4 linked regions of the Arabidopsis thaliana genome follow. The protein of the gene in region 4 interacts with the protein of the main gene of each other region in a biochemical or structural test. Each region holds a gene or a part of one and is shown on either strand. Other genes may lie near its edges.

Region 1 (3,707 bases), on a different chromosome or scaffold from region 4:
CTGACCAGAACAAGAGTTTTGAACTTTACAGTGGGTGTACAGCTTCATAGTGTTCTTCTTCCCAGGAGGATCAACAAATTTGAAAAGCGGATTGCTTCCGTGGCACGCAATGCTTGGCCTGTTTGTTTACATACTTGCTGTCGGGAATGCAGCTTTAGGGTTTCTGGAAAAGCTGACTTTCTTGGAGAATGGAGGGCTTGACAAGTATGGATCCGAAGCATTTCTTATCAACTTCACGGCCATTATCACTATTCTCTTTGGTGCCTTTGTGGTACTCACTGCTTCTGCTGAGTCTCCTTCTCCTTCTCCTTCCGTCTCCAATGATGATAGTGTTGACTTCAGTTATTCTGCTATATAAAACACTTTCTACATTCCACGTTACATCTGTATCGCCCCTTGTACTCTCAAAACTCCATTTATGTATGATGCATTTGTAGCGAAAAGCTTTGTGTGTTACGGCTTTGCTACTTCTGGTGTGTAAAATCTTCAATGATATTGATGAATCTTTTAAATCATTTTCTTTTCTTTTCTTTTCTTTCATATTGCCATTCCTTTAACCATATATGCTATTTGCCTTATTGGTGTCAAAGCATTTAAGACAAAACAAAAAACAAAACATTTTTTTTCCGGTTTTGCCTTAGAAATTTGATTTACATTACAATAAACGCAATTTACGTCGTTGTTGATGGAGAAAAGAATTCAGCAGAAGAATTACAATCTGAAGCCTCTCTATAAATATGATGCTCCTGCTTCTTACATTTGGAACCAAACACAATGTCGTTAAGAGTCCAGTTGCTGTTGTTGATCATCATTTCGTTGTAATGGAACTGATCAACATCACCCATTTCTTCATAAGCTGAGAGAGTCTCTTCGACATTTGGAGCTTGACTGTGCTTAGAGTCGGTAAACTCAGAGGAATAATCGGTGTGGGGATATGAAGAAGAAAGCCATTCAGAGAAGAAAAGCCTTGGAATCTCAGGAGCAGAAGAACATTGATGGCTGTTATTTCCGTTGCTTTCTTGTGAGGGAGATGAAGATTTGTTCTCTAGAAGTCTCTGGAAGGAGAACACGTGATTCGAGATCAAGGTTTCCGGATTTCTTTTTCCACAAGCAACAAGTGATGATGATGAAGACGAAGGAGGGGAAATAGATTTTGCATCTTGTAAGCTCTGAGACTTGAGCCATTTCTTTTTCAAATGAGAGTGCCAATAGTTCTTTATCTCATTGTCTGTTCTTCCCGGTAAGAATTTAGCTATTTGCGACCACCTAATTACACCTAAATCATTAGTCTCTCTATAACTAGCATCTGCTAAAACAATAGGGTTAGGTCTTAGAGATACACTTACTTGTTACCCAAGGAAGAATGAAACGTCAAGATAGTCTCTTCTTCTTCTGCACTAATCATATCCCTCTTTAACCCTGGTCTTAGGTAATTAATCCATCTTAATCTGCAGCTCTTCCCATTCCTTTGTAACCCTATCAAATTAAATCCCAACAACAATTATCAAAGTTGACTCAGTTTGAGAAACTAAAAACTAATAAAGAAGAAGATGAAAGAGAGACCAGCTTTGATGGGAACAGTGGTCCAGCAAGAATGGCCATAAGAGAGGATGAAGCTCCTTAGCTTCTCGTCTTCTTCAGGTGACCATAACCCTTTCCTATGTCTCTCTCCATATTTCGTCTTCGCCATTTCTCTTTAGTCAGCTGTCTGTCCTGATACAAGAAAACATGTCTCAATACTATATATGGTGATTGAGACAACATATATATCACCAAACGTCCACAGATAGAGCCTACATACTTGGTGTTAAGAAATGACCAAATGGGCCTGCTTAGAGTAAATGACAAATGACATATATATTTCTATTTTTATGAAAATTTGGGATATAATTTATGTGTTAATTTCTTATGAGTATACTGTATGCATTTGTATAAGCAGTGAGGAGAAAAGTCATAATGGAATATGTAAGGATTAATTAGGTGTCAAAAGTCTGCTTGGATAAATTTAAATTATTGATATAATGTTCCAACTTAAAATAAATTAGCAATTTTCAGTATATATAAGATTTGAGATTCCTACCTATAAAAAAAAAAAAAAAGAAGAATCTTTGCTTGTTTTTGTTCTTTCACTTTGTTTTCTTATTGTTTGTTTTCCTTATATTTACTTCATTTATAATGGACGATGCCTTAAGAATTTACACACTAATCAGATAACATCTTCATATCCAAAAATCTCTAAAATGTCGGCAAGAATTTTATATTAACGACTTCTTTAATTTATGTTTAAATCGCGTCAATGAGTTTTTTGGTTAGAAACGATCATCCGGGTGGAATAATCTGTCTGATTCAATCCAATGATTGTGAATAATGAAGTAATGATTATAGAGAATCATCCAATCTGTTAATCTTTTCGTAAAGCATCATTAGCAAGCAGACAAATTGCATTTGCTAATACAAGTACTTGAAATAATTATTATATGATTTGAGAGCTCTTTTTCTCTTAATTATAAAATTTTGTAGTGAAGTCAACATTGAGCTCCTATTTGCTGCTAGTAATTATTTCATATTTTTTCCTCTCACGATGTTTTTCTTACATTCACACTGACAAGTGGACCAATAATAAGAGTTATTTGAGGAATATTGTGAATTTCAACAATTTGAATTCCTTCTGTCCCGATCGAAATGGCCTGTCCCAATTTTAAAAATACTCTGATTTTGTTTTTTACTTGTTGGCTCTTTTGGCCTGTGGAAAATGACGAGTAAAGAAAATTGAGAGGGAAACAATAAAAAAGTGTCTACCTTGTCTTGGTCGTCTTGATAACATAATATAATTTGCCGTCAAACTAATCCCCAATGAAACACGACTAATAAATTTTATACATCTAATGTTATGATGACTTAATCCTTAGCCCTCGGAGAATAAATTTTATACATCTAATGTTATGATAACTAGGATACTTTAGATTGTTCGTCTACAACAAAACTTCTCCTCCTTCGACCATTAGGCCTTGTGGTATGTTGATAAAACTTTATGAAATATGTTGACAAAGAAGGTTAAACATGGCTTAGTTTTATGCACCAAAATAAAAACATCATTCAACATTGAATGAAACACATGTTTTACGGTTAGAGAAGACAGGCGTTAGTCAAACAATGACAAATGCTTTTAAAAATGAGATACAATAATCTTTGTTTTTTGTGCTGACACTTTGAACCGGTTCTACATAAAAGCCAACAAGTCTATAATGCAAAAAACCCAACTCGCATCATTGGAAAACCCCATCTCTAATCCGGTAGCTACAGCTCTCTACCGTACCTAAGTAACTTACCCATCTGATAGGTTCCTTGTTCTTGAACACACCGAGTCGAAATCACGAACTAATCATGTTGAAATGGAATCTGGATAGCTGCTGCGGAATGGTTGATATAACCGGTCCATATCTCTGTTTCAAGAAAATAATATACGGTTAGATGTTTGAGGTAAAAACCATTTTCCAAAGGTTGGTATTCTGGATATAAGCAAAACCTGAACATTGTCATAGAGTTCGAACAAAGGGACGGCCAAGAGCTTCAAATTTTTGGGCACAGCAAAGTACTCTTTCTCAGACAAGTGAACAATGTAGAGTCTCTTGCATTCCTGCCATTCCACAAAAAAGAGGAGATATAAGGAGAAGAGTAAAGGGAAATTCTGAGAAGCTTTACATTGT
Region 2 (7,298 bases), about 11 Mb from region 4:
CGTCCAGAGAACCAAGCTCGTCCTCCGCAAGTTTACCGGATTGTTCCTCCTCAAGGTAACGGGGTAGCTCCTCCTCAAGATAACCAAGATGGTCCGCGAAGTTACCAAGTTGTTCCTATTCCTCAAGTTAACAAGGATCTTCCTCAAACTTACCACCTTGTTCCTTGTCGTAACGGAGTTCCTCAAGTTAACCAAGATCCTTCGACATTTTACCAAGTTGTTCCTCGTCAAGTTAACGAGGTTCCTCCGCAAGTTAACCGAGTTGTTCCTCGTCCAGCTAACGAGGTTCCTCCGCAAGTTAACCGGATTGTTCCTCCTCGAGTTTACCAGCGGAGGAACCGTGCAGCAACTGCTGAAACTGAATCAACTGCGAGTTCTTCTTTCAATGTGAGTAAATGTTAAATCTTATCTCTCTCTTTCTCTTAAAATGTACTAGCTACTTTCTTTATAATAATAAAGTGCTTTTACCCCTTTTTGCAGCAAAAGCCTGAGATCATTGTAGTTGAATACCCTGATGATTCTGTAGCTGAAACTGTAAGATTATATACAATTCTTTTGCCTTTTGAGGTGCTTGTAATTGATTCTTGAAACGTTTTTTGAAACATTGTGCTTTTTGGTTGTGTTTTGTTAGGTGAGAATGGTTGCAACAAAGAGAGTAGTAGAAGTAGAACAAGACAAGACAGAAGAAGCAGGAAACAAGAAGATTCGTCTCTAATCGATTGAAAGTACAACACAAGACTTGATTAAAAGTACCACAAATTTGCATCTTTCTTTTGTTTTACACATTTTGTTTCTTTTAGTTTTCCTCAGTTGATCAAACTCTCATGTGGAGATGTTTTTGTCGTGATTTATTTTATTTCTAATAAGATTCAAGAACCTTATTTTTATTCTACAATTTGACTTCTCTGTACTTTCTGATCTATCTCAAAAGTATAGCTACAAAAAATAATAAATACTAAATTACGGGGACGAAATAATGAAACTTTCATCTCCATTTCCTTTAAAACGACGCGTTTTGGATAAAAAAACGAAACGGTCAAACTCTTTACTTTTCCGACGCGGAGAGAAACCTAAAACCAAAGACGACGTTCGACGAACGATCACGGAAGAACAACAAATGGCATAGAACCGTAAAATAAACAGAAAGCTGAGGGTAATTCAGTATTTTCCGCATAAATATTAGATCATCGTACGGTACGGTGTGGTGATCAAACGCTGATCCGTTAAAAACTCTTGAGAGTGCGTTTTCTTTGGCGGGTGTTCTCTAACTTCCTCGTTTCTCCAGATTCTTTACTTCAAATCACTCTCTTGTCTTTTCTCTGTCTCAATCTCTTATTTTTAAATATTCACATACTTCAATTTTCATGGTTTTTATTTTTTTTATCTAAAATTATATAATATTTGATAGAAAAAAAAAGAAGATTCGTATAACATCATCAGAGATAATCTCAAATACACTTCTTCTTCTTCTCGAAATCTCAGCCGTTCGTTTGTGGTAATCTCCTTCTCGACTTTTCCTTTTTTTTTTTAAACCTCTTTTGTAATTTTGTAGTAAATAATATTTTTAAGTTCCTTATCGTGGTTAAGTTCGGTTTGTTTTGTTTTATAATGTGTTCCTTCTTATTCGTCGTTACTACTAGGTCAATTAAATCTCTTTCTTAAATTTTCCCAGATTTGGGTATTTCTAACTTTAACTGCGAATTCAATTCTTATAGCATTAATTGGGCCAAAACAAAAGAACCAAAAAACTTTCAAGCTTTTTCTCCTTTGATAGGTAAAAAAAGATTGATTTTCATGAATTTAAATATCTGTGATTTTTGATGTTCTTGTTATTGTTCCTCTGTTTGTGAATTCAATTAGGGTTAGGAACTTTTTTTTTTTTTAACTTCTCTTTATTTTGATATATCGATATTTGTTTTTGTTGATAACATCGTTTTCTTATCTTTTTTTTTTTTCTCAGTTTCATTGGCTCTCAATCGAAGAAAACTTTTAGCTTACAAAATCTGCTTTGAGTAGTATTGATTTTTCAATTCATATGGAAAATCCTCCATTAGAATCTGAGATCAAAGAGGTGAGTTTTTCGATGTTTAATTCGTGTCTCAATCGATTAATTACTGTTTTTCTTGTTTGTTTATGGTTAATTACTGAAGATTATGTAACCTTGAATCAAAAACAGTATTGATGTTTGGTTTTTATTCATCATAGATTTGTATAGAGTCTTTTGTTTTCCGGATCTCGTTTGTTTACTTGATTTGGCAAATTACCTAATCACTGATCATAGATCCTCTTCGTCTTTGAATTATAGACTAGTTTTGTTGTTTATGCTTGATCTTTGTAACGCTGATTATAGTTTCTAGGTCTGTTTAATCAAACACATATTCATATATTTGTTGTTCTTCTCTAAAAATAAATTTATGTGTGTTTTTAATATACAGGATATGTCTTTGAAGAATCATCCTCCAGACAAGGATAAGGACAAAGACACTATCATGGAACAACCTAGTAGTCCACGTCATCGGAAGGTAATATGATGTAATCTGATGCAGAATCCAAAAACTTATATAAATCTTGAAACAAGTTTTGTTCTTACATAATGTTTTTTTTTTTGTATATGTTAAAGGTTGTTGCTAGATGGTTACCTGATGAAGCACAGAGGCCAATTATCAATGACGCTCCCGTATTCACTCCATCACTAGAGGTACTAATTGCTTTGTTGTTTCCATGATCTTTTGTTGATGTTTTTGAGTTCTTGTTCGTTAATTTCCCTCTTTATTGGTTATCAGGAGTTTGTAGATCCACTTGCGTATATCGAGAAGATACGTCCACTAGCAGAGCCGTATGGTATCTGTCGAATCATCCCACCATCGACATGGAAGCCTCCTTGCCGGCTTAAGGAGAAGAGTATATGGGAGCAGACAAAGTTTCCTACTCGGATTCAAACCGTAGACCTGCTTCAGAACCGTGAGCCGATGAAGAAGAAACCGAAGAGTAGAAAGCGGAAACGGAGAAGAAACTCGAGAATGGGTTCGTCTAAGAGACGATCTGGTTCTTCTCCCGCTGAATCGACTTCATCACCCGAGGCTGAGGAGAAGTTTGGTTTCAATTCTGGTTCAGACTTCACTCTTGATGAGTTTGAGAAATATGCTCTGCATTTTAAAGACTCGTACTTTGAAAAGAAAGACTCTGGTGGAGATATAGTAAAATGGACACCGTCTGTGGATGATATAGAAGGGGAATACTGGCGGATAGTTGAGCAACCAACAGATGAAGTGGAGGTTTACTATGGAGCTGACTTGGAGAATGGGGTGCTTGGAAGCGGGTTTTATAAAAGAGCCGAGAAGTTTACCGGTAGCGATATGGAGCAGTACACATTATCTGGCTGGAACTTGAATAACTTACCACGGCTTCCTGGCTCTGTACTCTCTTTTGAAGATTGTGACATATCCGGAGTTCTAGTTCCATGGCTATATGTGGGAATGTGTTTTTCATCATTTTGTTGGGTAAGTACACTTTCACTCTTTGATTTTATTATAAACATTTTTTCTCTAATGTTTGGATGTTTGATGTGATATTTCTTTGTCTTGAACAGCATGTGGAGGACCATCATTTATATTCACTTAACTATCATCACTTTGGGGAGCCAAAAGTATGGTATGGTGTTCCAGGAAGCAATGCAACCGCTCTCGAGAAGGCGATGAGGAAACATTTACCTGACTTGTTCGAAGAACAGCCTGATCTACTACATGGCCTGGTTACTCAGTTTTCTCCTTCAATACTGAAAGATGAGGGAGTCCAGGCTTACCGGGTCGTGCAGAATTCAGGGGAGTATGTATTGACATTCCCGAGGGCGTATCATGCTGGATTCAACTGCGGTTTCAACTGCGCAGAAGCGGTTAATGTGGCTCCGGTTGATTGGTTGGCTCATGGACAGAACGCTGTGGAACTATATAGTAAAGAGACAAGGAAGACTTCTCTGTCTCACGACAAGCTTCTTCTTGGAGCAGCTTATGAAGCGGTGAAGGCTCTTTGGGAACTCTCAGCTTCTGAGGGAAAGGAAAATACAACAAATTTGAGATGGAAGAGTTTCTGTGGGAAGAACGGGACACTTACCAACGCGATACAAGTAACGAAAAACAGATACTACTTGAGTCATGATACTGAATATAGTTTTCACTTTCTAATGCTTACTTTGGTTCATTTGTTTTGAAAATATTGACAGGCTCGGTTACAAATGGAAGAGGGGAGAATTACAGCTCTTGGTAGGGATTCTTCAAGCTTGAAGAAGATGGAGAAGGACTTTGATTCAAACTGTGAAAGGGAATGTTTCTCATGCTTTTATGATTTGCATCTCTCGGCTTCTGGCTGCAAGTGCTCTCCCGAAGAATACGCGTGCCTTAAACATGCAGATGATCTTTGTTCATGTGATGTGAAAGATGGATTTATTCTTCTCCGGTACACAATGGATGAGTTAAGCTCGTTGGTCAGAGCATTGGAAGGGGAATCAGATGATTTAAAGATATGGGCTTCCAAGGTTTTAGGCATTGAACATAGTGATGAAGATCAGACAAAGACTAGTTCAGTTATCAGTGAGGAGAAGAAGTTAAAGGAAGGTTCTTTTGATCTGAACATTGACTTAGAGATGGATTATCAAGAAGACGTTAAAGAAGAAGCCAGCACTAGTGGCGGCGAGTTAACCGCCTCAGAGAACCTTGGTGTATCGGTCGAGCCTATAAACCTCGGGTTCTTGATTTTTGGAAAGCTTTGGTGCAATAAGTATGCTATATTCCCAAAAGGTACTATCTTTGAAATGCTCTTTTGTTAATGTTACTTGATCAAATTTGCTGAAATGGTTGTTGATGTTTGTTTTACAACTTTAACAGGATTCAGGAGTCGTGTCAAGTTCTACAATGTTCTTGATCCAACAAGAATGAGCAATTACATCTCTGAGGTTTTGGATGCAGGACTCATGGGTCCATTGTTCAGGGTTACTCTGGAAGAATCTCCAGACGAGAGCTTCTTCAATGTCTCTGCACAACAATGCTGGGAAATGGTGATGCGGAGAGTTAAAGATACATCAACAAGTCTTGGTCTTCCTATTTTACCACAGTTTGAGAGTATCAACGGGCTTCAAATGTTTGGTTTCCTCTCACCCTCTATAGTTCAGGTAAGAAATCTAAATCCAAGCCTTGTTCTTCTTCATTAAAAAGCTATTCATGATGTTAACTCTTACACAACTTAACGCTTCTCTACAGGCCATTGAAGCTCTTGACCCAAACCATCGACTAGTTGAGTACTGGAACCACAAGAACCAAACTTCATCAGACTCAAAAGATCACTTCATATCATCAAACTGTTCCGCAAGTTTAACCAAAGGAAAACTTTTCGGAGTAGATTTGATGTAAACAAAAAAGACTGTACCAACTCCGAGACCAACAACAACAACAGAAACAACAATGACATATCTTTTAGATAGATAGAGAGAAGAAATTTCTTTCTGATTTTTTTTTTTTGTTTTGGGGGCATTTATTATTCATAATCTTTTGTTCTTATTTATCATAGCAAGAACAAATAACCTAACCTTAGCGTTAGTGAAGTGTAAACTAGAAAAGAAAAGTCATAATAATAGAAATTCTTCTTTCAAAAATCAAGAAAATTTGCTATTGCTTAATGTGAAAAACTTTACATTATGTAACAGAGTTTCACAAAATCTTGAAAAAAATTAGACTTTGAGTCTAAAAAATCTTGTAAAGACAAAAAAGAGATATTTCACGCCGTTAGTGGAATCTTGACGGTTACTTCGCCGGAAAAAGTCGCCGGAATGTTGAGTCAGAACAGAGCCAGAGTCGCCAATGGAAGCAAGAACGAGCCAGTTGAGAAATGTACTGTGGATGCAGAAGCAGAGGTTTGATTGGTGTCACTGTTGGATCCATCGGGATGACGACGGCGACTAGAAGGCTGAAAAGGCCAAGGACGGAGACTATCAGCTAAAGTAGTATCACCGGTACCAAAATCGCCGTAACGTGAGAAATCAAGAGACGAAGCAACGCCGTGAATAGCAATTGAAGAAGAGAGGAAAAGATCCGGTTCAGAGACAAGAACGCCGTCGAGTGCGTAACCGGGAACAGAGTTGTTAGTGACGACGATTGTGTTTCCGGGGAGAAGAGTCGGAAGACGAGAGAGTGGTTTGAAGAGACGAAGATCTGTGAAGGAGAGTCGTTGAGGTACGATGTGGTAAGCGACGGAGAGACGACGGGGATTAGCGTTGTTGTTGCCAGTGGTGGAGGAAGAGGAGGAGGAGATATCAGCGGAGTCGAAATCGCTTGGGATGAAGATAGTGGCGGAGAGAGGGATACCGAATTGGTCATCGACGGCGGAGAGAAAATCTGCGGCCCAGTCACGGAAATCTCCGGCTCCGATCATTGCTTCGATGATTCTGTCGGCGTGTTGGTGATCTTGGGACGTGAGATACGCTGGAGAAGCGGCGGAAGTGAGGAATGTGACGGTGGTGATGAGGAAGAGGAGAAAGAGATGGCTTGAGGTGGCCATCGGAGATTCAAATCGGCGGCGAAGTTGTAACAGAATGAGAGAGAATCTTTTTGAGTTCGTTAGGATTCTTCAACAATGAAGAAGAACTCTGTTCTTCTTTCTTTATTTATATACCTCTTTAGTTAAATTATTAAGAGGATGGATTAGTTAAACCGGTTTTCCGGTTTGGTTAAGTGATAAAACCGAGACTTTGTGTTGAAAAGGAGACTCCTTGAAGGCCAGAAGAGAGCAAAAAAAAAAAAAAAAGGAACCACCTTTGAATTTTTGCAATTCTCTCTGATTTCTCCACCACCAAAGTGATTATATAGTTATGAATATTGAACACAATTGCTTACATGCCGTATACAATGCATTATCTGCTGCTACTGTCAAAACAGCTCTACTCGTTATGAATATTGAACACAACCCCAGCCTTGTTCGTGCCCGGGGGAGTCATATTTGTACCCGACCCCAAAGAGAAAGGAAGCTCAAATGTTAGGTTGGGCCAATCATGTGTCTTCACATCCTCTAATATCCATAAATCAAAACTTTGGAAAATCATGTTTTGTTTGTTATTCTCCTTAACATTGTTGGACATAAATTAAAAACTCATTTGAATCAAAACGTAAGATATCTCTTTTCGAAACAATGGAAAACTAATAGATATCTAACATAGTATTTATTCAATTTATTAATTACTACACCAGTGATCTTTATTACAGTTTCATACCATGATATTACCATCAATTATTTATAGATGATCAACGGTGATA
Region 3 (5,564 bases), 1.5 Mb from region 4:
TTCATAGATTTTTTTGTTATATATTTTCAATAATTAAATTACATTATGAACTAGTTTTTGAAAATGATGTTGATTGAGTTATAAACATAGCAAAATTATGGAAAATTGGTCATTGTCTTCAACAATTCTTAAGCATGATGGCTATTTTCTGTAGTATAATACTAATAAATAAGTGATATTTCTAATTAACTTACTTCAAAACGCTGGCGAAAATGACTTGACTAGTCTTATTAAAAAAAAAAAATTCATCAATGCGAAAACTAGCCATGAATGATACAAAGTTTGAAAAGACTAATTCCACAAACCAAAGAGTAGAGAATGAGAATTACTGGAATATAATGGGCCGACCTCATACAAGGCCCATATCAACATTCACATTTCACAATTCACAGTGGTGATTTTTTTTTTCAAACATAATATTTGTTGTCTTCAATATAATAGAATATTTTTCTTACCAAAATTAATAAAACAAATATGTCACTAAACTTTCTATATTTGCAATAAATACTGTAAAGAAAAATAATACTTCAGTTTCATTATTGATAGCAAAACATTCAAAAGCCTCCAAGTTACATGTAAAAGACTCCAAAGTAACTAATACAAAATAATTTTTTTTAATTCTTACATTTTTTTATAAAAATAACCTACCCGCTCCCAAATAATGAATGAAAGAATAAAATCAATATTTTCCCTATTTTCTTTGATAAAAAAAAAAACATTTTCCCCTTTTTCTAAAAGTCTTTAAAACCCTAAATGTATAATTTTTTTTTTTTTTTTTCTTCAAACTTTAATTCCCTCCGGTAGTCCAAGCCGAGATCGTATAAAGTGGCTGCTCCGACCACCGTAAAGTAACTCCACCGCCGCGTCCGCCTTCACCGCCGTTGTCTTCATCGCTCCTCTCCACATTGAAAAACCCTTCATTATCAGATCCGTACATCCTAAGCAACATCTTACTCTGCAAAACCTCTCTCTCCGAGACTCCAAGACTCCGAAACCCTAACTGCTCCAACATCCTCCTCCAATGACGAAAACCCACATGCCTCTCTTGTCTATGACTTCCTTCACACGCAACAATGTTCCTGATCTCTCTCCCAAACAACATCTCCTCAACTTTGACTCTCATTAAGCTATCTGTAGCAAGATTCGTGTGAATTGCATCAAACATAGCTGAATAGTACTTTAGCGAGTTACAAACTCGTGTCTCAAGTTGCTCTGAGTTGTGTTCTGCTTCTTGCTCCGCAAGAACGAGAGCTATTGGGTTTGTGCTTCTGATTAAACCCAAAAAATCCCTAATTGCTGCTCCGGTTCCATCGTAGAGTGTCTTGTGCATCTGCATGACACAGTTTACAGCTACTGATTCACCTTCTTTGACGTGAAGCATCCATAGTCTAACGTCTTCGAGTCTATCAACTACAGGATGAAACTCGAATTGAAGATTCATCGCCTCTGCAAATCCGTGGAGGCGATCTCCGGTTTCGTTTAGCTCAAGTTTCGATTCTCCGATCCCAGTGATTCGTACATGGTGTGGTGGATTTATTCTCGAAGCTAAGCTTTGGAAGAAGCTAGGCCACTGTAAACCTTGCTTGATGTCGAAGTCAATAATGTGAACTCTCTCTTTCCCTTCAAATGCTCTGAGTAACATCTCGTTGGCTGTGAAATGAATGAACTTTGGAATTGGGGTTACTTGATTCAAGAACCTCAATGCATTTCCTGATTCATCTTCGACAGTTCTATCGAATTCACGAGGGGGTGCGATGTGGAAGATGTGAGGCCACATACGCGCCACTCTTAGAGCCAAAGCTTCAATGTAGTAAGCTATGAGGCGAGTCATTGGTGTTCTTCCTCTAGGAGAAGCAAGATCACCGGTTCTTGCAATGAAATGGTTAATCGCTGCTATGTTTCTTGATCTGATCGCGTCTAAGCATCCCGTAAGCAAATTGACAAGCTCGAAATCCCTCTGCAAATCGTTCCTGTTGTTGTTGTTGTTGATGTTTCCGGTGGTCCTTTCCTCTGTTGCACCGCGGTGTGAGTACGGATTCCTTGAGCCATTTGTAGGTTCTGGTACTCTATGGCTTAAGCTACGACTCTCGGATGATGCGCTTGTAGATGATCCTCCAGATGCTTCCTTAACTGCTGCAGGAAGGCTACTCTCAACGTCCTTATCGCCTATACCAGCTAGCTCCGTAATCACCGAATCAACCCAGTTTGGTAAAGGCTGAGAAATGACTTCACTTGGCACAAAGCAAACCTTTTCCTCATCATCACCTGAACAAGTCAAAGAAAAAGGTAATGCTGGTGAAGAAGAATCCTGGCCAGTGAAATGCTCAAACCAGAAACCACCTTCGTTTTCGCATTTTGTCCTCTTCGCTCTGCTCAAACAAGACTCGTCCTCCTCAGCTAATCTCTTCAAACTCTTCCCTCTGTTGTTGTTGTCGTTGTTCCAAGAAAACCCTTCTCCATTTCCTCTTGTTGTTGCCAAAGGTGGAAGCTTTATGTTCTGTTTAAGCGAACAACCACTGGTCTTCGTCTTGCGCTCGATCGGTTTGTTGTTGTTGTTGTTGCTGTTGTCAAGAGAGATGCTTCTTCCAAGTGGTCTGCTAGAAGGAGTTTCCTTGCGAGAGAAGCTACTACTGCATGGTAAGTCCAATCTCTGTGTGTTCATGGGAAAATGCGCTGATACTGTTGCTGATGTTGCTGCTACTGCTTCACTCCTCAATCTTCGAGTAGGCGACAACAATGATGAACTCGAACAACCTGCCAACATCCTCTACAAAATCTACCTAACCCAATTCAAGAGATGGTCTACAAGTGTGTGTGTGTTTGCTCAAACAATTAAAAAAATGGAATCCGATGAATCTTTTTTTTTTGGTTTTAGTGAAATCAAAGTGAATCCTATATGAAAAAATTGAAGAATGAAATGAATTTGAATCCCCTGCCCCAAAAGAACCAACGAATCTATATAATCAAATAAAGAATGAAAGAATTATCGAACTAAACTAAATCAAATCAATCTACCATAAAACAATCATCGGATTCCTTAAACTTTATAAAAAACAACAAAATCTCATTTAGATGATAATGACGACCAACGAATTCACATCATCACGAACAGAGACTACTGAAGAACGACCTCGAAGTTGCTGGATAAACAGACTTGAGAGTTGCTGTAAACCCGGTTCACCATTCCGGTTTGCCATTCTGGTTTTGCCAAATCAAGAAAAATCTCTCAGAACATCCAGAAACCCAAAATCAACAAGAACCCAGATCAGACAATCACTAGGAGATTACTGAAACACAAGATCAAGATCCAAAAACTCTCAAAGATTGTTACTTTCTTCACTCTCTCTCTCACTCTCACTCTCACTTCTATCTGTTTCTCTCACTCACTTTTGGTTTCTCTCTCTCTCTCTCTCTCTCTAACTCTCTACAGGGGTTAAGAGATACTATACAGCTTCTACAAATACCATAGTGGAGGCAACTTTTTAGAGTTTGTTTTCTTGTTGGGTCTTCGAGAATTGAAGTTGGCGACTTTTCTTTTTACAGTAATTGTTTTTTAGAGTTGGGCAGAGTGAGTGGTACACGAGGGATCTGAATCTATCTGAGCCGTTGGATCTTTAAAATCAAACGGTAGAAAATTGGTGACCGTTTGTGAATTGTCGGAGAAATATGACCGTTGGGAGAGAGGAAGAAAGAAGAGAGTGTTGGGTGTGTACGGACATCAATGACTTCTGATTGGGAAAGCCAACAACGACTTTTTTTAATACACCCACCAAAAAATGACATTGTTTTTTTTTAGACTATGACACATTCGCAGTAAAAAAACAAATGATCATTGTACAAAGTCCAAATAACTATTTAGGGTACTAAATTTATCTGTCATTAATAAATATTGCCAGTTTTGTGAAATATATTTACTAATTCCTTCTCTATATTAGTAAGAATGATTGTTTATGATTTTCTTACGCATCCCCTTAAATCTTTTTATAATTGTTTTATTATACCAATAATTTACATGTACCATTTTTCTACGCAAAATACTTCCCCAATACTAATTCAATTTATTCAATTGTCGTATGTCAATGTTTTTTGAAGTTTTACATTTTATAACGTCTAAAAAAAACCCAATATTCATGGAACATACCAGAAATCGAAACTAAGCATCAATTTTTTTTTATTGAAACTTGTGTAAAATTGCATTCACAAGAAATTAGAGTTTCTGGCCTTCCTAGAGTTTCTTGAATTGCGTTAACAAAAAATTAGAGGTTCCGGCATTGCTTCCACACTAGGTTAAGGTTCAACAAAATTCGCAACCAAAGAATAGCTATGAAACAAATAAGCAAGATTTCACAAACATAAAGAGCTTACAAAATTTCAAAACTAATGGGCTTTACTAGCAAATATAATGGGCTTTTTAATAAACCTTTTTTTAATAAGCCTATTAATAAAGATGGGCAAAATGTGTTTCTTTTTGTATCAAAATGTTGTCTAATTTTACTGATAAATAAGAATAAGAAATAGGGTAAATATTTGGAAACTATTTAGAAATACATTTTAATCTAATGGTAATGATTAATTCAAGATGTATATAATTTCTAGTATCTTTTCCCTAATAATTGATATTTTTCATTCATTAACACTAGGACCTTTTAGGTTTAACATCTTAAAACTCTATCTTAAGATGTTTAGATAAGTATTTGGGTTGTAATGATTTTCTAGGAAACACTAAAATAGTATGAACATAATCTAGTTAATCACTAGACTAAAAATCAAATCTGAATCTATGTACAAAATCTAAACTATACACATAAAAGTAGATATTAACATATATATTAATGAATAATATATAATTATATATAGATACACTTAGCACAAATATACACATATATTTATTTTGGATTGTTATCATGTGCTCTGTAAGAAATCATGCTACAATATACAGATGATATAACAGGATAAGAGCTATATTAATAGAGAACTTTGCATAAAAGTCGTTATCCAAAAAAAGAAAATAAACTTTGCATGAAAGCTAAACCAAATGCAAATAAGAAAATAATTGTATCTTAAAAGGATTGTTCTTAAACGATATAAAGGTACATAATTCCCTCCCACGTTAACCATTCATTGTGCATTGTGGAATTCCATTTGTATAATTAGTTTTGAATTAGATCATTCATTTCCTTTGAGTTTGATGAATAAAAAGTAAGAAAAAAACACTAAGCTTGGGAGGGTGGCTTAATTAAGCGTGTACACATAAACTATACTTTGTTAAAAAAAAATTGGGAGGTTGATTATGACTTATGAGCGAATAAAGCACTTTTGCGATAGTTATTGAACTTGCTAATCAAGTTGTTAAACGTGTGTATATATATAGGATGTGCATCATCACAATTCTCTCTAGCTAGCTCTTATTCGTATTATATAAAAAACTCAATAACTCTTTTTTGTTTTTGGTTCTTAAGATGCAATCTATTTATACAGAGATAAACACCAAAGCCAAGAAAGCAAGGACGAATGTAGACTATTTCTATACAGCTTACATGAAAGCCACTAACACAGATTTGGGA
Region 4 (4,555 bases):
AAAGAGATGATGATGAGGAACATTCATTGACTATTAATCGACGAGAAGACTTGACTTGGTCTTCTAGAATCTTTATCTCTTTGGCTCTTGATTTTTTTTTCACATCAATGGTTTCAATAATTAGTGCAGTCCTACATTTTTCCATTTACAAAAGTAAAAAAAGATTCTTATTCACACGCTGTTCATCAAAATATTTTTCCAAAGCATAAATGTTACTAATTATTGACATTTTTTCTATCATTTAAGTTAAATTTAAGTGTGTGATAGACATCAAAATATTTTTATCAAACAAAGCAATTAATACTTCTATTAATGTCACAATATACTAAGTCTGAATTCAGAATTAGGTACATGAAAGTCAAAAACACATTTATAAAAATTCTACGAATCTATGGAACATTCTATGTATCATTGAAAATTATTTCCCAAATAATTTTATTTTGATATTCTATGCATATGTTTTATTTCATGAATTTTTTTAAACAGTGTATATCTTTGTGTTAATACATTTATCTTCAAAATCATATTTAATCCAATGGTTTGCTCTTTGAACATTCGAAAATCTTCAATAAGAAAAATCACCAACAATAAGATCAGAGACAGAGTATGAAGTTTTAAGGACACATACACTTATGTACAAACGTTACAGACACTTAAGCTTGTAACCAAAAACAAAACAAAGCTCCATGACACAAACATATCACATAATTTAAAGTTATTGTTCTTCTTCTTCGACACTATTATTAACAACATTTCAAGAAGCAAACATGAAAATAAATAAGTTTAAGTTGTTGAAAGATCTCTCTGAACAGTACCTGCAAAAGACTTGATCTCAAAACTCAGAGACCTCATTGTTGTTTATGGTAGCAGCTTCTGGATGATAATGAATCATTTCCTTCCACATTAATTCTCTTATCATCTCTGCTCCCAAATCCTCGTCTTCATCTACATCGAGATCAATAGGAACTTGAGCAGGAGGATTTGCACTCGGGTCATATAAAGGCGCCATGTAAGGATGTTGAAGCGCTTCCGTGACACTAATCCTTTTCGAAGGGTCAAGAACGAGCATTTTCTGAAGCAGATCAATGGCTAAAACATTTGCACCCGGGTAAAGACGAGAGAATGATATCCCTGGTGAGTAAGGGAGTGATTCTATGTATCTTTTGGCTTTTGGGTTATCTATAAACTCGAGATCTTCCTCTCTCTGGCTACCCAAAATGTTAATGATGAGTTTAATCTGGTTTAGACATTCTGTTCCCGGGAATACTGGTTTTCTTCCAAGAAGCTCGGCGAATATGCAACCGACTGACCAGACATCAATGGAGGTTCCATAGTTGTCACAACAGAGGAGTAGCTCTGGTGCTCGGTACCATCTAGTCACAACATATTCAGTCATGAACTGACCTTTGGTGTTGCTCGTCCTCGCTAGCCCAAAGTCACATATCTTTAAGTCGCAGTTTGCATTCACAAGGAGGTTACCGGGTTTCAGATCCCGATGGAGAATGTTTGCTGAATGAATATACTTGAGCCCTCGAAGCAACTATGCAAAAGAAATAAAAAGCAAGTAAATGCAAACACCAAATGCAAACAACACACACTAATGGTAAAAGCAAATGCAAACAAATCACATACCTGGAACAAGAAGTATTGGCAATGGTCATTACTTAGAACTTGAGAAGACTTAATAATCTGATGAAGATCAGTATCCATAAGCTCATAAACAAGATAAACATCCTTAAAGCTTCTCTTATGATTAGCCATCATTACATCTTTAAGAGCAACCACATTCTCATGTCGAAGATGACGTAGAAGCTTGAGCTCCCTAAGAGTCCTCAACGCATCAATCCTATTCTCAAACACATTGTGGATCTTCTTGATCGCCACTCTCTCATTACTCTCTCTGTTAACCGAAGAGCAAACCACACCGTACGCGCCTCGGCCTATCGGTTTGATAGGCACGTATTTGGTATCGATCTCGAAAAGTGTTTGCCACATTGAGAAGTAATGCTTCCCTTGATTCCTAATTCCATTAGGTGGATCAACAGGAGTCGCCATTCTTCTACCTCCTTATAAAAACACACAACAAAAGGAATAAAAATCAAAACTTTATCGAAATTGGAACAATCCACAAATTTGAAAATATACACAACACAGAATTTTGAATTGCTTCCAACAAGTGACAATGAAAGATCAAATTTTTAGTTTTGATCTTAGGGTTCTCTAAGCTTAAGTTTACAGATTCAAAGGTTAATATTTTAGATTTCACTAATGATCAAAAGCTTTGTTTAAGAGAAAAGAACAAAAGTTGAATCTTGATCCGATGTTGAGATTGAGCTAGAACGATCTGAATTTTGCAGAGAGAGCTTACCCGTTGAGTGTTGGGGACGAATCAGATTCGTCAGTGACGATCGCCGGCGAGATTTGGGTGGAGAGAAAGAGGAAGTTGGAGAGATTTGGCTGGTGAGAGTGAGAGATTTGGTCAACGCTATGACCGTTGACTCTCTAGTTTCTCGTTCATTACCATTTTAGAGCTGTTTCTTTCTCTGTCTCCTTCACTAATCTGTCTTTAACTTTGGGCTTAATTAAGCCCAACCTGATTTGTAATAATTAACGGTAATTAGATATTTAAGATAGTGAGGAATTAACAAAAAGTGGACGTGCCGGAGTGGTTATCGGGCATGACTAGAAATCATGTGGGCTTTGCCCGCGCAGGTTCGAATCCTGCCGTTCACGTTTTTTCACTTCTTATTTTAACATCGAAACGTGATTATATAACTTCATTAGTAAATGTAAATCTAAGCTTGAAATTTATATTAGCATTTGTTCAATCACAATCTATCAATGCAAAAAAATTTCTAGTCAAAAACTCATGATACAAAGGCTTTACTATATGTACAAGACTAGTAATTGTTCGCTTGTAAAAATCGTTCTGAGTTTTGTCCTTCAATGGCGGTAAATTTTCAAAACTTGTTGTATTCGTTCCCGGCAAAGAGGACAGGTCCTTAGTTGCAAGGAGCATGGTGTGCAGCAGCACATATGACCACACCTACAAGTCCAAACCAAACAAAAAGAGGAATCAAAAGATGCCATGTTTGATCAGTGAGAGGGTTTTCAAGAGCTTTTAGAAGAAAAGCGGTCTTATACTTACTCAACAAAAGCGGTGTTATACTTCTGGTCAAGGCAAACCACACAGAGATCAGGTGTATCACCATCTCTGCTTGTACCACCTGGTAAGACGTTTTTGTAAGCAGAGCAATTCCAAGTGTATGCAGAAAAAGGATTCACATGTTACTACTACAAAGTACAAACTCTAATGGATAGATACTATTACTACCTCCAGTTACTGGTTTGGCTCTCCTAGCAGCTGCATCAACAACTCTGCAACAAGTTACCCAACACTTAACTCGCAACTCGCAACTCGCAATGAATACTTCATACGTGGCTGTGGTTAGGGTGCGTCATACCTTTTCAGTGCGAATTGTCGCCGCCTTCTTTCTAGAGTATCTTCAATTCTCTTTAGAATATATTCAATCACAGGCTTTGAAATAAGAATCACACCAAGAACAGTTAAACCCATGGAGGCATACTTGAACCTCCTGCCAAAAGAAAGAGATCTTTTAGAATTTTTTTCAATCATAGTTTTCGAAGAAAAGAATAGGCAAAAACAGAGAAAAGAAACAACCTTGACAAATCTCCCAATTTAGAGATGAGCTGATCTAGCGGTATATAAGTGACGTAGAAAGGTCCTTGCTCAGGTTTTTGAATCCTGACATTCCCCATGCCATCCCTAACAGCCTGTTAACATGGTAAGCAACATAACAAAGAGAGATATAAAACGTATTTTGGACCGCTAACAGATAAAAGACATACCTCACCAACAACTGTAAGCGGTGTACCAATTGGGACAACACGCTCAACGTGTCTTACTCCAAGTATCTATAGACAACAATGGTGCCACAATGTATAAGCATTGTCAAAACAAAAGCAAATCAATGAAAAGTGGTAGGAAAGGAAAAGAAAAGACCTTAAAGCCTTTAAGATAACCCAACGCTCCTTGAACAAGCGATACCGGCTCTGCCTTTTCAAATACATCACTACCAACCGTCAACGCCAAGCCTAATTCACCTTGAGATACATCTACATTCACACGACCTGTCCCGTCGTCCTATAGGCAACCAATATCATATTTTGTAAATGACTTTAGAAAGTAATACACTCCAATCAAAGTCCAACAGACATACCAGATACCAGGGGACTTCCTTAGTCATCGGCTGCATCAATGTACTATTTCGAACCCATGAAAATCTCCAATTACGTCTCAAAACCTGTTGTTCTGCCTGAAAAAAATCGTTTCTTTTTAACATATCCAAAATCACAGAAACGAAAAACTAGATTATCTAATCCAATTCATACATACCGTTCTCTTGAGAAATACACCGAGAACATAACTATGCTCACACTTAATAGGAGTCTCAGAGCCAACATCTCCTGATACTGCGATGATCAAAGGTACCACCTTGCTCTCTACTTCTACTAATTGTTCTGAATAAAAACG

What was found.
Region 1: of the proteins of MPK2 (region 4) and LAF1, one has a biochemical effect on the other in vitro, tested with the Arabidopsis thaliana proteins (one large-scale study listed by BioGRID).
Region 2: of the proteins of MPK2 (region 4) and JMJ18, one has a biochemical effect on the other in vitro, tested with the Arabidopsis thaliana proteins (one large-scale study listed by BioGRID).
Region 3: of the proteins of MPK2 (region 4) and AT1G63100, one has a biochemical effect on the other in vitro, tested with the Arabidopsis thaliana proteins (one large-scale study listed by BioGRID).

Annotation. Positions count from the first base shown.
Region 1 is NC_003075.7:13,050,538-13,054,244, reverse strand, and holds LAF1 (myb domain protein 18), read right to left. Parts: upstream 1,743-3,707; 5' UTR 1,691-1,742; coding exon 1,564-1,690; intron 1,518-1,563; exon of another isoform or gene 1,477-1,517; coding exon 1,347-1,476; intron 1,267-1,346; coding exon 672-1,266; 3' UTR 503-671; downstream 1-502. Other genes in the region: ACYB-2 (Cytochrome b561/ferric reductase transmembrane protein family), read left to right, coding at 32-358; AT4G25550 (Cleavage/polyadenylation specificity factor, 25kDa subunit), read right to left, coding at 3,372-3,443, 3,527-3,637. UniProt on the Arabidopsis thaliana protein: Transcription factor that promotes photomorphogenesis in the light by participating in the transmission of phytochrome A (phyA) signals to downstream responses. Probably acts by activating expression of light-induced genes.
Region 2 is NC_003070.9:10,936,243-10,943,540, reverse strand, and holds JMJ18 (Transcription factor jumonji (jmj) family protein / zinc finger (C5HC2 type) family protein), read left to right. Parts: upstream 1-1,572; 5' UTR 1,573-1,774; intron 1,775-1,960; 5' UTR 1,961-2,035; coding exon 2,036-2,071; intron 2,072-2,435; coding exon 2,436-2,522; intron 2,523-2,620; coding exon 2,621-2,698; intron 2,699-2,783; coding exon 2,784-3,500; intron 3,501-3,589; coding exon 3,590-4,123; intron 4,124-4,219; coding exon 4,220-4,793; intron 4,794-4,880; coding exon 4,881-5,164; intron 5,165-5,252; coding exon 5,253-5,402; 3' UTR 5,403-5,826; coding exon of another isoform or gene 5,827-6,546; 3' UTR 6,547-6,776; downstream 6,777-7,298. Other genes in the region: AT1G30814 (uncharacterized protein), read left to right, coding at 1-387, 481-534, 632-715; AT1G30800 (Fasciclin-like arabinogalactan family protein), read right to left, coding at 5,827-6,546. UniProt on the Arabidopsis thaliana protein: Histone demethylase that demethylates 'Lys-4' (H3K4me) of histone H3 with a specific activity for H3K4me3 and H3K4me2. No activity on H3K9me3/2, H3K27me3/2 and H3K36me3/2.
Region 3 is NC_003070.9:23,398,604-23,404,167, forward strand, and holds AT1G63100 (GRAS family transcription factor), read right to left. Parts: upstream 3,574-5,564; 5' UTR 2,765-3,573; coding exon 788-2,764; 3' UTR 509-787; downstream 1-508. Other genes in the region: AT1G63105 (uncharacterized protein), read left to right, coding at 5,538-5,564. UniProt on the Arabidopsis thaliana protein: Probable transcription factor involved in plant development.
Region 4 is NC_003070.9:21,882,021-21,886,575, reverse strand, and holds MPK2 (mitogen-activated protein kinase homolog 2), read right to left. Parts: upstream 2,559-4,555; 5' UTR 2,369-2,558; intron 2,067-2,368; 5' UTR 2,056-2,066; coding exon 1,633-2,055; intron 1,541-1,632; coding exon 833-1,540; 3' UTR 525-832; downstream 1-524. Other genes in the region: ZCF61 (E3 Ubiquitin ligase family protein), read right to left, coding at 2,944-3,046, 3,149-3,227, 3,335-3,378, 3,465-3,596, 3,683-3,795, 3,871-3,936, 4,025-4,165, 4,242-4,337 and 1 more.